Rhinolophus ferrumequinum: one gene and its partners. The protein of the gene in region 2 interacts with the protein of the main gene of each other region in a biochemical or structural test. Links are inferred from orthologs where the notes say so. Each region holds a gene or a part of one and is shown on either strand. Other genes may lie near its edges.

Region 1 (3,743 bases), on a different chromosome or scaffold from region 2:
GCAGACGGCTGAGGGGGCAGTCCAGCTGGCTCTGAGCAAACAGGTCAGCAGAGGGCAAGCTCCCAGGCTGGGTCCCCAGATCCCCATCCTCTGGCTGAAACACATCATCCTCCAGCTCTTCCACACACTGAGGCGGCTCCATCTCCCCTGTTAGGGCATAATAAGGCATCCAGGATGCTGTCCCCACCCAGGCCAACCCTGGGCCTCCCCCACCTTCTTCCCTGGTCTCCCTTCTTATCTGGGGAAGTGGGGGCAGGTACTAGTGACAGATGACCCTGGTGGTAAAGCACAGCCAAGGGTGACATCCATCCCCAAATCTGGACTGCCTCACTGTTCAGTCAGGGACTTGCAGCACCACTTTCCTGGGCCCACTCACAGCTACCCTCCCCTCGGCCTCTTCTTCTGACCCAGCTGGTCAGTCATGAAGTTTGCTTCATGCATACAGGGTACCTGGGGAAATGTTAACAAGGCTAGCCTCTCTGAGTGGCTGTGGGAGGGCAGAAGGGTGCTGTGACTGGCTGTACACAAAATACTCACAACTAACTAACTCTCTCTCTCTCTTTCTCTCTCTCTCTCCTTTCTCTCCCTCCCTCTCCCCCCCCCCCCCCACCACTGCCCTGGGGAGTAACCACCAAGTCTGAGCTGAGCTCCAGGCTCAGCAGTAAAAACAAAAGCCAGCCAGCAATCATAGGGCAGCCAGGTTCCCTCCAAACCTGCTAAGTCCCGCCCACCTGCCCATCTACTCTAGTCTCCACCCCCTGCTTGCTCAACACAACAAACAGACTCCTTGGTGTGGTAAGGGTGTCCTGGGAGAGAGAAGGGAGAAAGACCCAAATTAGTCATTGCAGCTGCCCTCTCAGATAGAGCTGTCTACCCACCACAGCTTGGCCAAGAGGGTAGGTCCAGCATTCAGCAAAGTGACCAGCCTCCCCCAGCTCAGTCTATTCACTAGTCTCCGTGACTTTAAATCCTTCACCATAGCCAGCCTACCATTCCTGCCAGTGCTGAACCTGGGATTGGTACAACCTGCCTCACAGAAGGAAGTGAAATTCAGCCCTTTCTCCGTGACCTCACTCACTGGCTATACAGGTTGTTGATGAGTTTCTTGGTAATAAAGAAGTTCTTGCTCCACTTGTTGGCTCTTGGAAGTCTGAGCTTGGAGCCATCCAGCATCTTGAGATCCGAACCCAGACCCCTACACACATACACTAGGAACCCCTCAAGGCCCCTGGGGCAGCCAGAAGCAACAACCACCTGAATAGGTTAAGGATACAGAGAGACAATGTTTGTCACTGCCAGATTCTATTAGATTCCCTGGGAATTCTGTCTCCCAGTCTCTTGCCTTTGAAGAGCAAGCCAAAGGGTCTGTGGGTTGGTAAAGTACTTAAAGAAATCCCGGTTAAATTCAGAAATCCTGGCTTTCCTAAATGCAAGCTGTCTCTGAGGTGCTTGTTTCAACCCCCTCCATCCCATCTATTCCTGGAACTATCTATGGTCCTATCTCTGCCCTCATCCCTGGAGAGTGAGGAGATGCCTACTTGGATGGCAAAACAGGCACCTGGTGTTCTTTCAATAGTGTTTCCCAAAGGAGGCGTGGGGTGGGAGAACTCCAGCTTATCAGCACCAGGAAACAAAGTTTCCCGCTTAAAGGAAAGGCTGTCCTGCCAGTCACTGGCAGGGGCTCCCCTCCAGCCCTTCAACCTCCTCTCAGCAAGCTGGCGATCCCAACGTAAGAAGGGACCCTCCAAAGCCAATCACAAGCAGGAGTCATTGTCTTGGTTCTTCCTTTGAAGCCCGTCACCTCCCCATCCCCCTCCCAGCAAAGCCCCAAAGTTCAACCCCAAGCCTGGACTGGACGGTGGGGGAGGTGCAGCCAGAGGGTGTGGCTCTGCCACGGCGGGAGGGGGTGGGGGGGGCGGACGGGGACCCGTCCCACTCTCCACAGGAACTGCAGGTGGGCGCTTCCAGTGGGGTGCTGGGCAAGGTCAAGTGTAAACTGACCTGAGCAAAAGGGGTGATGTCCAAACTGGTAGGAGGGGAACACTTGCTGAGAGCACGGCCAGGGTAGGCTATATTGCTAGCAAGGGGGACTAAAGCTCGCCGGAGCCATCCCAGCCCCTAAGGACTCTTAACAGGGATGCTGAACTTAGACTCCTCCTCGGAGAAGGCAGTAGCCAGATACTCTGAACTTCGACAAGGGCTAAAATCTGGTCTCTCTCTCTCTCTCTCTCTCTCTCTCTCTCTCTCTCTCTCTCTCTCTCACACACACACACACACACACACACACACACACACTCACGCACTCACACAACACACCGCCGACCTGGGTGACTCCAGGAGAGAGTCTCGGCCTCCGAGTCGTGATGCCAGGGCTCCGCGCCAGGGTCCAGCGTGACGAGCACTCGGGGGCTTGGCGCCCAGACTCAATTGGGAAGGAGGGAAAAAGCCCAGCTGTTAAGGAGAGGAGCCTTCAAACTCCGCAGGGAGGCAGGATGCCCCACGACTCCCTGCCCTACCCCAAAGTAAGATCCAGAGGCCCGGCCGATCTCGGGCGCCTAGGTCGGCTCAGCAGTGCACTGCAGGTTCCCCTGCCCACCTGGACCCAACTCCTCGGACTCTCAAATGCTACTACCCCTAAGTTGCCTGGTGGAGCAGCGCACCTAGATGTGGGTTCTTCACCCCGTTCCCGCAGCCCAGCGCCCCAGTACTTCATGGTCACCCCACACGCCTGCAGCCCAACCCTTCCCGGGCCCCCACGCGCAGCGCGACTCCTCTCCCCACTTCCCCGAGGAGGTGCGATCCAACTCCGCCCGGCTCCCGGCCGCCCGGGCGCTCACCCGGCTGCGGCGAGAAGTGGGAGGCGGGAGGAGCGAGCAGGGGACGCAGCGGCAGCGGCCGGGCGCGCCCGGGAGGAGGCCACTCCGCACCGCGCGGTATTGTTTCCAAAATACGCCCGCTCGGGGCATCCCGCAAACAGCTGATGAGGCCCCGCCTCCGGCGCGTCACGCCTACCGCTGGCCAATGATGAGTGGAGCCCCAAGTCCCGGGCTGGGCGACTGCCAGGGACAGTCACGAATCTACGAACCTCCCCTTGGAAACATTGCAAGGGGCCGAGCAAAATTCTGACCCCCGCCAGAAACGCAATTGGTGCGCCGTTGCCCTCGCAGACTCGGTTCCTAATGCAGGCTAGGGAAGCACAGCCCTCTCCATTAGGAGCGAACAAGGAGGCGCCAAAGTGACTTGTCTTCTCTTTCTCGGGAATAGGCTGAATAAATACTGCGCGTCCCTAAAGGGAGGGGAGGAGGAGAGCGGGAGCTTTTAAACGCGACTGGCAATGTCCAGTGGTTGCAAGTGCGGGTCCCTGCGGATCCCGGCAAGGTAGCAAAGCACCCTCCCGCTTGCGGAGCGGGTCTGGAGAAAACTCCAGCCCCAGATCTGTAGGAAGCATGAGAACACGTATGTCCGGTGCTGTTACTCAGTGACATTCAGATCAAACTCATCCAAAGGAACCCTCATGTCCTCTTCTTGACTGGGCGTGAACACAAAATAGGCATCTGTTTGAGGAGAGAAGAGATCAAGAATGCAGGCGCTGCTTGGGCAGTTGACACACATCCTGTTTATGGCAGCCTCCAGAGAGAGTGCTGGGGCTGCCAGGAGAGCAATGGGTCCCGCAAATCATATACCATCAGTAAGGGAATCTCTGCGCTAGGCCCAAACATTTATTGAGCACCTACATTGTGCCA
Region 2 (3,743 bases):
CCTCTTGTGGTGTAATGAGGCCAATCATGTCTTCTTAAATAACACGTCCAATAATCTCCCAGCACAACAGAAAGAGATAGGAGGAAAGGCTGTTGGGGATCTCTCAGACGAGAGGCCAAGAAAAGGGGACACACAAGGGGCATGGTCCTTACCCAGCCGCCGTTCTCCTGGATCCAAGGCTCTAGGTGGTCGTTCAGGTAAGTGGCCATCCAAGTTGCAATCCGACTCACCAATACCTGCATCTCCTTGTCTACGCTTTCCACGCACAGTGCCCCACCGAAGGAGAAAAAGGCCACAATGCGACCCCAGTTCACCCCATCCCGGAAGAGTTCATTCACTACCTGCTCAAAGCTCTGATATGCTGTCCCTGGGGTGATGTGGAGCTGGGATGTCAGGTCGCTGAATGCCCGTCGGTACCTCAGTTCAAACTCATCACCTGCCTCCCTCAGTGCTTGCTTCACCGCTGCCATGGGGATCACCTCCCGGGCATCCAAGCTGCTGCTGTGGCCAGTGGCTCCATTCACCGCAGGACTGTCCGCCAGGTGCCAGGATGGGTTGCCATTGATGGCACTGGGGGTCTCCATCTCTGATGCAGTCCCTTCTGGGGCCTCAGTTCTGTTCTCTTCCACATCACTAAACTGACTCCAGCTGTATCCTTTCTGGGAAAGCTTGTAGGAGAGAAAGTCAACTACCAGCTCCCGGTTGCTCTGAGACATTTTTATAATAGGGATGGGCTCCACCAGTCCATTGTCCAAAACACCTGCTCACTCACTGAGTCTGGTCTCTGCTTAGTGGTTGTCTTCTGAGATCCAAAACCAAGATAATGTTCTAAAGGAAAAAAAAGAGCTTCAGGGAAAAAGAAAATTAACATGCATACCATTTACCCTACAACATCCCAATGCACCTCCAGGTACCAGAACTGGTTTCTTTGTGGCTCTTAGGAAGGTCTGGGTCTAGCTTCCCGGAGTTCAATGAAGTCGAATTAAAAGCACCAGTGGGCTCTGAATCATTACACCGGCCTTTTTTTACCCCAGCCACCCCCTTTTCTCCGAAATGTCTTCCTCGGAAAGTCACCCTCATGGGCAGTCTGCATCCCATCCCCACCCCCGCACCACCTACTTTCAAATCTGTCTCAGGCGACGGCAGGCAGGTGCAGTCCCCGAATATCTTTTGTATCATATAGGTCGGAAGAGGAGGTGGCAGCCGGGATGCCGGTAAGTCAGCCGGCCTCGCGGCGGCTGGCAAAAAAAACAGCTCCGGCTGGAGGGATCATGCGACCCGGCAGGCTGGGAGCCCAGAAGGCGACACAGGAATTAGGAAGCTCACGAACCCACCGCCTCGCTGGCTTCTTCCTCCATCGCCCAGAACGAGGGCGGCCTCCTGCCACCGGGAGCCCAGCCCCCTCGCTCTAGACGCTCCTTGGCTCTCCCTCCGCCTCCTACTGGGAGCCAGGAGAACTCTCCCAGAGGTGGCTGGTGGAGAGCTTAGGTTTTTTTGGTTTTTTTTTTTTTTTTCTATTTAAGTACCGGCCCAGGCTTCCGAAACCCTGAAGGGACTTCTCAATGGGGCTCAAGGTTTCGATGAGGGACGCAGGGAGGGGAAAACTGCTTCGGATCTGCGGTCTGACTTCGGAAAAGCCATCCCCGGGTCTTTCCGGGAGGCTGAAGGCCGGGGACCCCTCAGAAACGCCGCTGGTATTCTTTGAATTCCCCAAAGGCCCTGGACGCGGCGGTGGCGGTGGGGGATTGCCGGGTCCTCCATTCCCCACACGGACACAATGGCCGCCGGCGCCCTGCACAAAGACGGGGTGAGGGTGAGGCGCCGGGCCTCTCCTCCGGTCAGGAGAAGGGTCGAGGCCTGCTCGAGGGCTCCCACAGCCGAGACCACGTTTTCCTGGGGCCAGGCCCGAGGCAGCTTCCTCGTGCCCCCGGGAGGACTTGGGGGCCGGAGGCTGCCGCTCTCCGGAGCCCGGGGTGGGTGGGCTGCGGCCTCGCGGCTTCTCCCGCGCTCAGGGCCGGGTACCCGCCGGGCCACCGCCCCGTTGCTAGGCAACCGCTCTCCCTCAGGGGCGCCCCCTAGACCTTTCTGGGAGGAGGGGTCTCGCCCCCGGCGGCCCGCCCCAGCATAGCCAATCAGAGAGCCCAGTCGGTAAGTAAACGGGACGGCGAGGGCTCCCATTGGGCGCAGCGCCTGCCACGCACAGAAGAGGCGGCACTCTCACCTGCAAGCCCCGCGAGCCGTGGGGGGCCACATCCCCCCTTGTCGGTCAGGTCGCTTCCAGACGCGAGGGCTCTTCGCGGCCGGGTTCCGCGCCGCGGACCCGGGCCGGCCTACCTGGCGGACTGCTCGCGCTGTCTCTTCCGAACGAGCCGGCCTCAGTTTCCCCTGAAGACACCGGGGGAACTTGCAAGCTCAGTCACTTCCGGTGCCGCGGCAGCGCGCGCGAGCCCGAGACGCAAAAGTGCGCGCCTTGAGGACTGGCGTCAAGACCTGGAAGAGAGCGCCTCCTTGCGGTAGAGCTAGGGAATCCGGAGGCGCAAAAAATATATATGTATATATATTTGTATCAACGTTTACATTTCACATTTCCATTCATTTAGTCAATTTCACCCATCCGTCCGCTTATATATCGAAAAAGCATCGTGTTGTGACTAAGAAGCCAGTTGGTCAAGTTACTCAATTGCTCCGTGCCTCACTTTCTTTAACTGTAAAAATGGGTAAATACCAATCTCCCTCATTGAGTTACTGTAAAGATTAAAAGAGTTATGTGTGAAGTCTGTAGAACAGTGTGTGGTCTGTAGTATATGCTGCATAAATTCATTCATAAAATGCTTATTGTTTGGTTTCTGAAGATAGAGTTGGGAACAAGACAAGACTCGGTCCCTGCTTCCATGGAGACTTAAACCCTTGAGATGGAGAGAGACAGTAAATAACTAAGAAAATATACAAACAAGGTAATTTCAAATAGCGACTAGTGCTATAAAGAAAGTAAATAAGGGTATTATCATAAAGGTGGTGAAGGGAGAGGTGCTACTTTAGACTTGGTGGCCAGGGATGTCCTCTTTGAAGAGATGATATAGAACCCAAGACTTGAAGTATAAGAAAATTCACACCTATCAGAAGAGCCTAGAGAGTATCAACCTAGGCAGAAGGAATAGCTTGTGTAAAATGTCCGGAGGCAGGAAGATCTTGGTATGTTCCAGAAGCTGAAGGAGAAGCAATATGACTGCAAGGTAGTGTGAGGAAGGGCAAGTGTGGTGTGAGAGGAGGTTGGAAAGCTGACCATGGAAGTAAGTTGGACTTGATTCTGAACATTAAAACGTGTTTTATTTTGTGTTAATTTGATGGATTAAAAAAATAGGGATACAGGAACACTGAATGTTAAAAACATATCAAAGAGTGTAGAATTAAAAAGTAAGTCCTATTCCCACCCTGCTTTCCAGTCCCCAGTTGCCCTCACAGAGATCATCACCCTTTCCTCTGTGGTCTTTCAGAGATGGTTGCTATATTCACAAACACGTGTAAATGTTTTACACAAACAGTAGCTTGCTATAAAAGCTTCTACATCTTCCTTTTTTGCTGATTTCTACATTTTGGATCTGCCTCAATTTTTAAAATTAACACACAACTTTATAAAGACATGCCATACTTTACTTGCCCAATCCCCTATTTTGGAACTCTTAGGTAGTTTCCAATCCTCTCCTACTACAAATAATACTATAACTTGGCCATTTGTTATTTTA
Region 3 (3,743 bases), on a different chromosome or scaffold from region 2:
AGACAGTGTCTCAGATGGGGGAAGTGCCTCACTCACCGGCTTCGCAGGCCGGGGCTCGCCTCCTGGTCAGCCGGCCGTCCGGTCCGATCAGCATCTGTCCAGATGTGGCCCGTGGGGCCTCTGTGGGGCCGGGCTTCGGGGACTCTGGCAGGTCAACGATGGCGCAGCCTTCCTCCCACATGTGGTCCATGTAGGCCTGGGCCCCGCGAAAAAGCAGCTGCCTGGTCTTCTCTGGGGAGACAGAGCACCCCTCCGGTTAGGCCTTTTGGCACAGAAGCCCTCACACAGCCATCTCATCCTCCACGCCGGGTGTGTGGGGCCCCTCTGTGCTGTCCTCTGGTCACCCCTGCCCACGCCGCTCCCTGGGGAACTGCACCCACACTGCCTCCCACCCATCCTGAACCAGGCTCAGCTGCTACTTCCTACAGGAAGGTCTGGGGCTCTGCAGCCCCACTCGGGCGCCCTCTCCGGTCACTCTGCTCATTTTCCATACAGCGCTCTCAACGCATGGCCTCACCTCATGACTGCTCCCCTCGTCCCGTGCCCCACCAGCCAGCTGTGTCCAGCAGAGGAGCTCTGAGCTATAAAGCACGGGTTCACAGGCAGAGGCTCAGAGCTGGGCCTCCAAACCCAGCCAGTGTGCGCCTCCTTCACCCATTGCACAGCTGCTGGCAAGACACGGCATCAACTGGCTCCTGAACTTTCCAGACCTCTGTAGGCTCTGGACAACCCGCCCACAGAGCTGAACTGGCAGCTCAGCACCCACAGCAGTGGCTTTCCTTCGGGCCACATGTCAGTCACCTGGGGACTTTCACAGGATCAAATGCCCATTGCCAGCCCCAGAAGTGCTTTGTTTGTTGTTTCTGTCTTGTCCCAACAGAGCCAGGGTGGGGATCCTGGAAGCTGGTGGCTCTGTGAAATTGACAGGAACAGTTACTAGGTAATTCAAATGGAGTGGCTAATGACAGCCCAGCCACCAGCTCCTCCTCCTTTGGGCTCTCCTGTGCCCTCCCCAACTCACAATGGGATGGAAATGGGGGGGGAAGGGGTGTCACATGGTGAGGCTAATGTTTATCTTCAAGGTCTTGTGGTCAGTGTCATAGCCTTGAGCTTGGAATTTGCTACACAGCAGTTCCAACTGGGCGTCCTGCCCTTACTATGGAATGCCCAGGGCGCCCAGCCCCTCTCCTTGGAAAACCTGCAAGTCATGGGGCCCTGCAATCGCTCCACGACGGGCGCTCAAGGGAGAGGGTAAAGAGCCAGACTGCCTTGGTCCCCACTTTTAGTCCTTGCTGCTGGTCGTGTTTATGTTTTTGAATGTCCTGACGGAATACATATGCAGTTCAGCCACAGGCCCCATGGCTTCACTCATTTTCATCACCTGCACGGCCTTGGAAAGCATTTGCGTTTGCAACCCGAGTGAGCAAGGAAAGAAAGGCAGAGTGGGTGAGGATGGTGGCAGTTGGGGTGGGGGGAAGACGCAGAAAACTGGGGTCTCCCGAGGCTGGGCTCTTCCCCACGCCCCTAACACACAGCAGCACCACTTAATTACAAACACCCAGGTCACTTTCTAACTGCTCTGCGGGTGCAAACCTTGTGCCTGTGCCCCCGACCTCTCAGCAAGGTAAGCTTTACCTTACAGCTGTCCCAGAGTATCAACCACCCCACATTGGGGATCACTAATATCAGCGCACCTAAAAATCTGTACGAGAGCCAGGTAAGGAGGACTCCAGTGGCTCACTGCCCTCACCTCTCACCGGGAGGTGGATACTCCAGCCACACGAATCCTACTCCACTGTTCTGCTTCCCGGCTTTTGCACATTCTGTTCCACCTGCCTCGAATCCTCCTCTCCCTCTTTGCCGGCCTAACTCCTGGTCACCCTGCAGAATTCCGCTTAGGCGCTGTTCCTCCACCGGACCTCTGACACCCTTGCAGCGGGTCCTGCAGCGACCTGGGCCAGCCGGATCGTCTCTGGACATTCCTTCTCCTGCTGGGCTCCCACTAGACCCGGGAGCTCCCGGAAGGCCGCGTCACACGCGCAGCCGCAGTGCCTGGTAGGGAGGGCGCGCTCCTCAAATACCTCTCGATTAGACCGGGTACTTCTGCGGGCTTACTCCACCCAGGACGTCCCACTCCCTGACCTCTCGCTGCGCCTGAGGCGCCCTAGCGCTAGTCAGACAAGGGCTAGTTATTACAGCTACGACGCGAGTTCGGCATCCCCGCAAATCCAAGCCCGGGAGCGGCCCCACGCAGAGGCCGCTCGTTTGGAGAGGGAGGGGCACTTCTTGCGGGTTGTGGCCAGCGCAGGTGGACACGGACGCGTTCGCCCCTCCCGCACCGCTCCAAACCCCAGCTCCCGGGTGGTCCCAGACCTCCCAGCTCCTGGGGGCGCGGCCTGCGGAGACCTGCCCAGGCCCCGCGTCGCAGAGAGGAAGCCCTACCCCGCACTCACCGAAGATCTCCTGCGAGTAGCGCTCGGCGCACATGCCGCGGCCTAGCTCCCTCCAGCCCACTCGAACCTTGAGTTGTAGCGGGGCCGCGTCCCCGAAGGGGCAGCCCCGCTTGGGCATCGCCGCGGGCCGGGGGAGCTTAGCGTCCGCCCCGCGCCTCGCCGGTGACGTCACAGCCGCGCGCCATCCCCCGCGCAGGGCGGGGACGGGGCTCGTGCGCGGCGCGGAATAGGCCGAGGGCGAGTGTGGGGGCGGGGCTGGCGGGCTGTCCGGCGCGGGATAGGCCAGGGGAGATACCGGGGGCGGAGTTGGCGGCGCGGGAAAGGCCCGGGTCGGAGTAGGCTCACCTGGGCGGGGGAGTGGGAGGGCGGTTTCGTGAGCTAGAGGCGCGGGATAGGCCGGGGTGAGGTTGTGGGCGGGACTCTAGCGCTGGGGGCGGGTCCTGTGTGAGGTGCGCCTCCTCATAGGCAGGAGGCGACATTGGGACGGGATTCGTGGTGCAGGAGGGGCGGAGTGTCTCATTTTTTTTTGTTTTTTTTCCTTGGTCCGTAAACTGGTGAAACTGGTTATAGTTCCTCTTTCAGGTCACCAGAGTTGGAGGATGATTTCCTTCCTCCTAATTTTGACTTTGAAGGAATTCCCATCCTCACGGAAGTGGAGAGTGGCCAGTGCACGACCCGGGTTGTCCTCGGCGCGCGTCCGGCGCTGCCACGTCACATCCGGCCCCGCGACGGCCGCGCGGGAGCCGCGGGGAGAACACGTGCTCATAGGGCTCAGATTCCTCCGTTGCCCGGAGGTGCCTTCCCACAGCCTCTCCGTCTGGCTTCGGCCGGCCCTTCCGTCACTGCATTTCCAGTGACCAGAGCTGCTTCTTCGGTCTGACGTGACACGTCACACGTGACGTCAGTCAGCCGGCAAGCCGCTCCAAGCGGCGCGGAGACGGTGCCCTGGGGGGGTGTCCTCTGCGGTAGGAGTCCGCCCCCATCGGGCGCCCACCAGGTCACCTCACGTCGCTGCTCAGTCGCGGCCTTGCCCTGTGTCCTGGTAAGAAACGTCCAAACCTGTAGAGAAATTTAATGAGTTTGTCTGAGCCAAACTGACTGACACTTGCTGGGAAGCAAAATCTCAACGGGTTAAGAACATGCTTCAGAAAATGGCAGTTTTGCAGCTTATTTTATACCTTACAAAGAAGGAGACCTAAGGAGGGTTCATGGAATCCATGGGTGGTAGGTTAAGGGGGCGGGAGAAAGCAAAGCGGGGCGATCCCGGGGGTTGGATAGAAAGTAAAATGG

What was found.
Region 1: the proteins of BCL2L1 (region 2) and BMF interact in a test that uses a peptide from one of them, tested with the Homo sapiens proteins (2 studies listed by BioGRID). The link is inferred for Rhinolophus ferrumequinum from reciprocal best matches to the Homo sapiens genes BCL2L1 and BMF.
Region 3: the proteins of BCL2L1 (region 2) and SIVA1 form a complex in vitro, tested with the Homo sapiens proteins (2 studies listed by BioGRID and IntAct). The link is inferred for Rhinolophus ferrumequinum from reciprocal best matches to the Homo sapiens genes BCL2L1 and SIVA1.

Annotation. Positions count from the first base shown.
Region 1 is NC_046289.1:64,884,254-64,887,996, reverse strand, and holds the start of BMF (bcl-2-modifying factor), read right to left. Parts: upstream 2,243-3,743; 5' UTR 1,206-2,242; coding exon 1,079-1,205; intron 409-1,078; exon of another isoform or gene 170-408; coding exon of another isoform or gene 148-169; coding exon 1-147. UniProt on the Homo sapiens protein: May play a role in apoptosis. Isoform 1 seems to be the main initiator.
Region 2 is NC_046306.1:22,759,533-22,763,275, reverse strand, and holds the start of BCL2L1 (bcl-2-like protein 1), read right to left. Parts: upstream 2,516-3,743; 5' UTR 2,222-2,515; intron 1,415-2,221; exon of another isoform or gene 1,120-1,414; intron 829-1,119; 5' UTR 717-828; coding exon 153-716; intron 1-152. UniProt on the Homo sapiens protein: Potent inhibitor of cell death. Inhibits activation of caspases. Appears to regulate cell death by blocking the voltage-dependent anion channel (VDAC) by binding to it and preventing the release of the caspase activator, CYC1, from the mitochondrial membrane.
Region 3 is NC_046289.1:859,946-863,688, forward strand, and holds the start of SIVA1 (apoptosis regulatory protein Siva), read right to left. Parts: upstream 2,656-3,743; 5' UTR 2,572-2,655; coding exon 2,454-2,571; intron 232-2,453; coding exon 37-231; intron 1-36. UniProt on the Homo sapiens protein: Induces CD27-mediated apoptosis. Inhibits BCL2L1 isoform Bcl-x(L) anti-apoptotic activity. Inhibits activation of NF-kappa-B and promotes T-cell receptor-mediated apoptosis.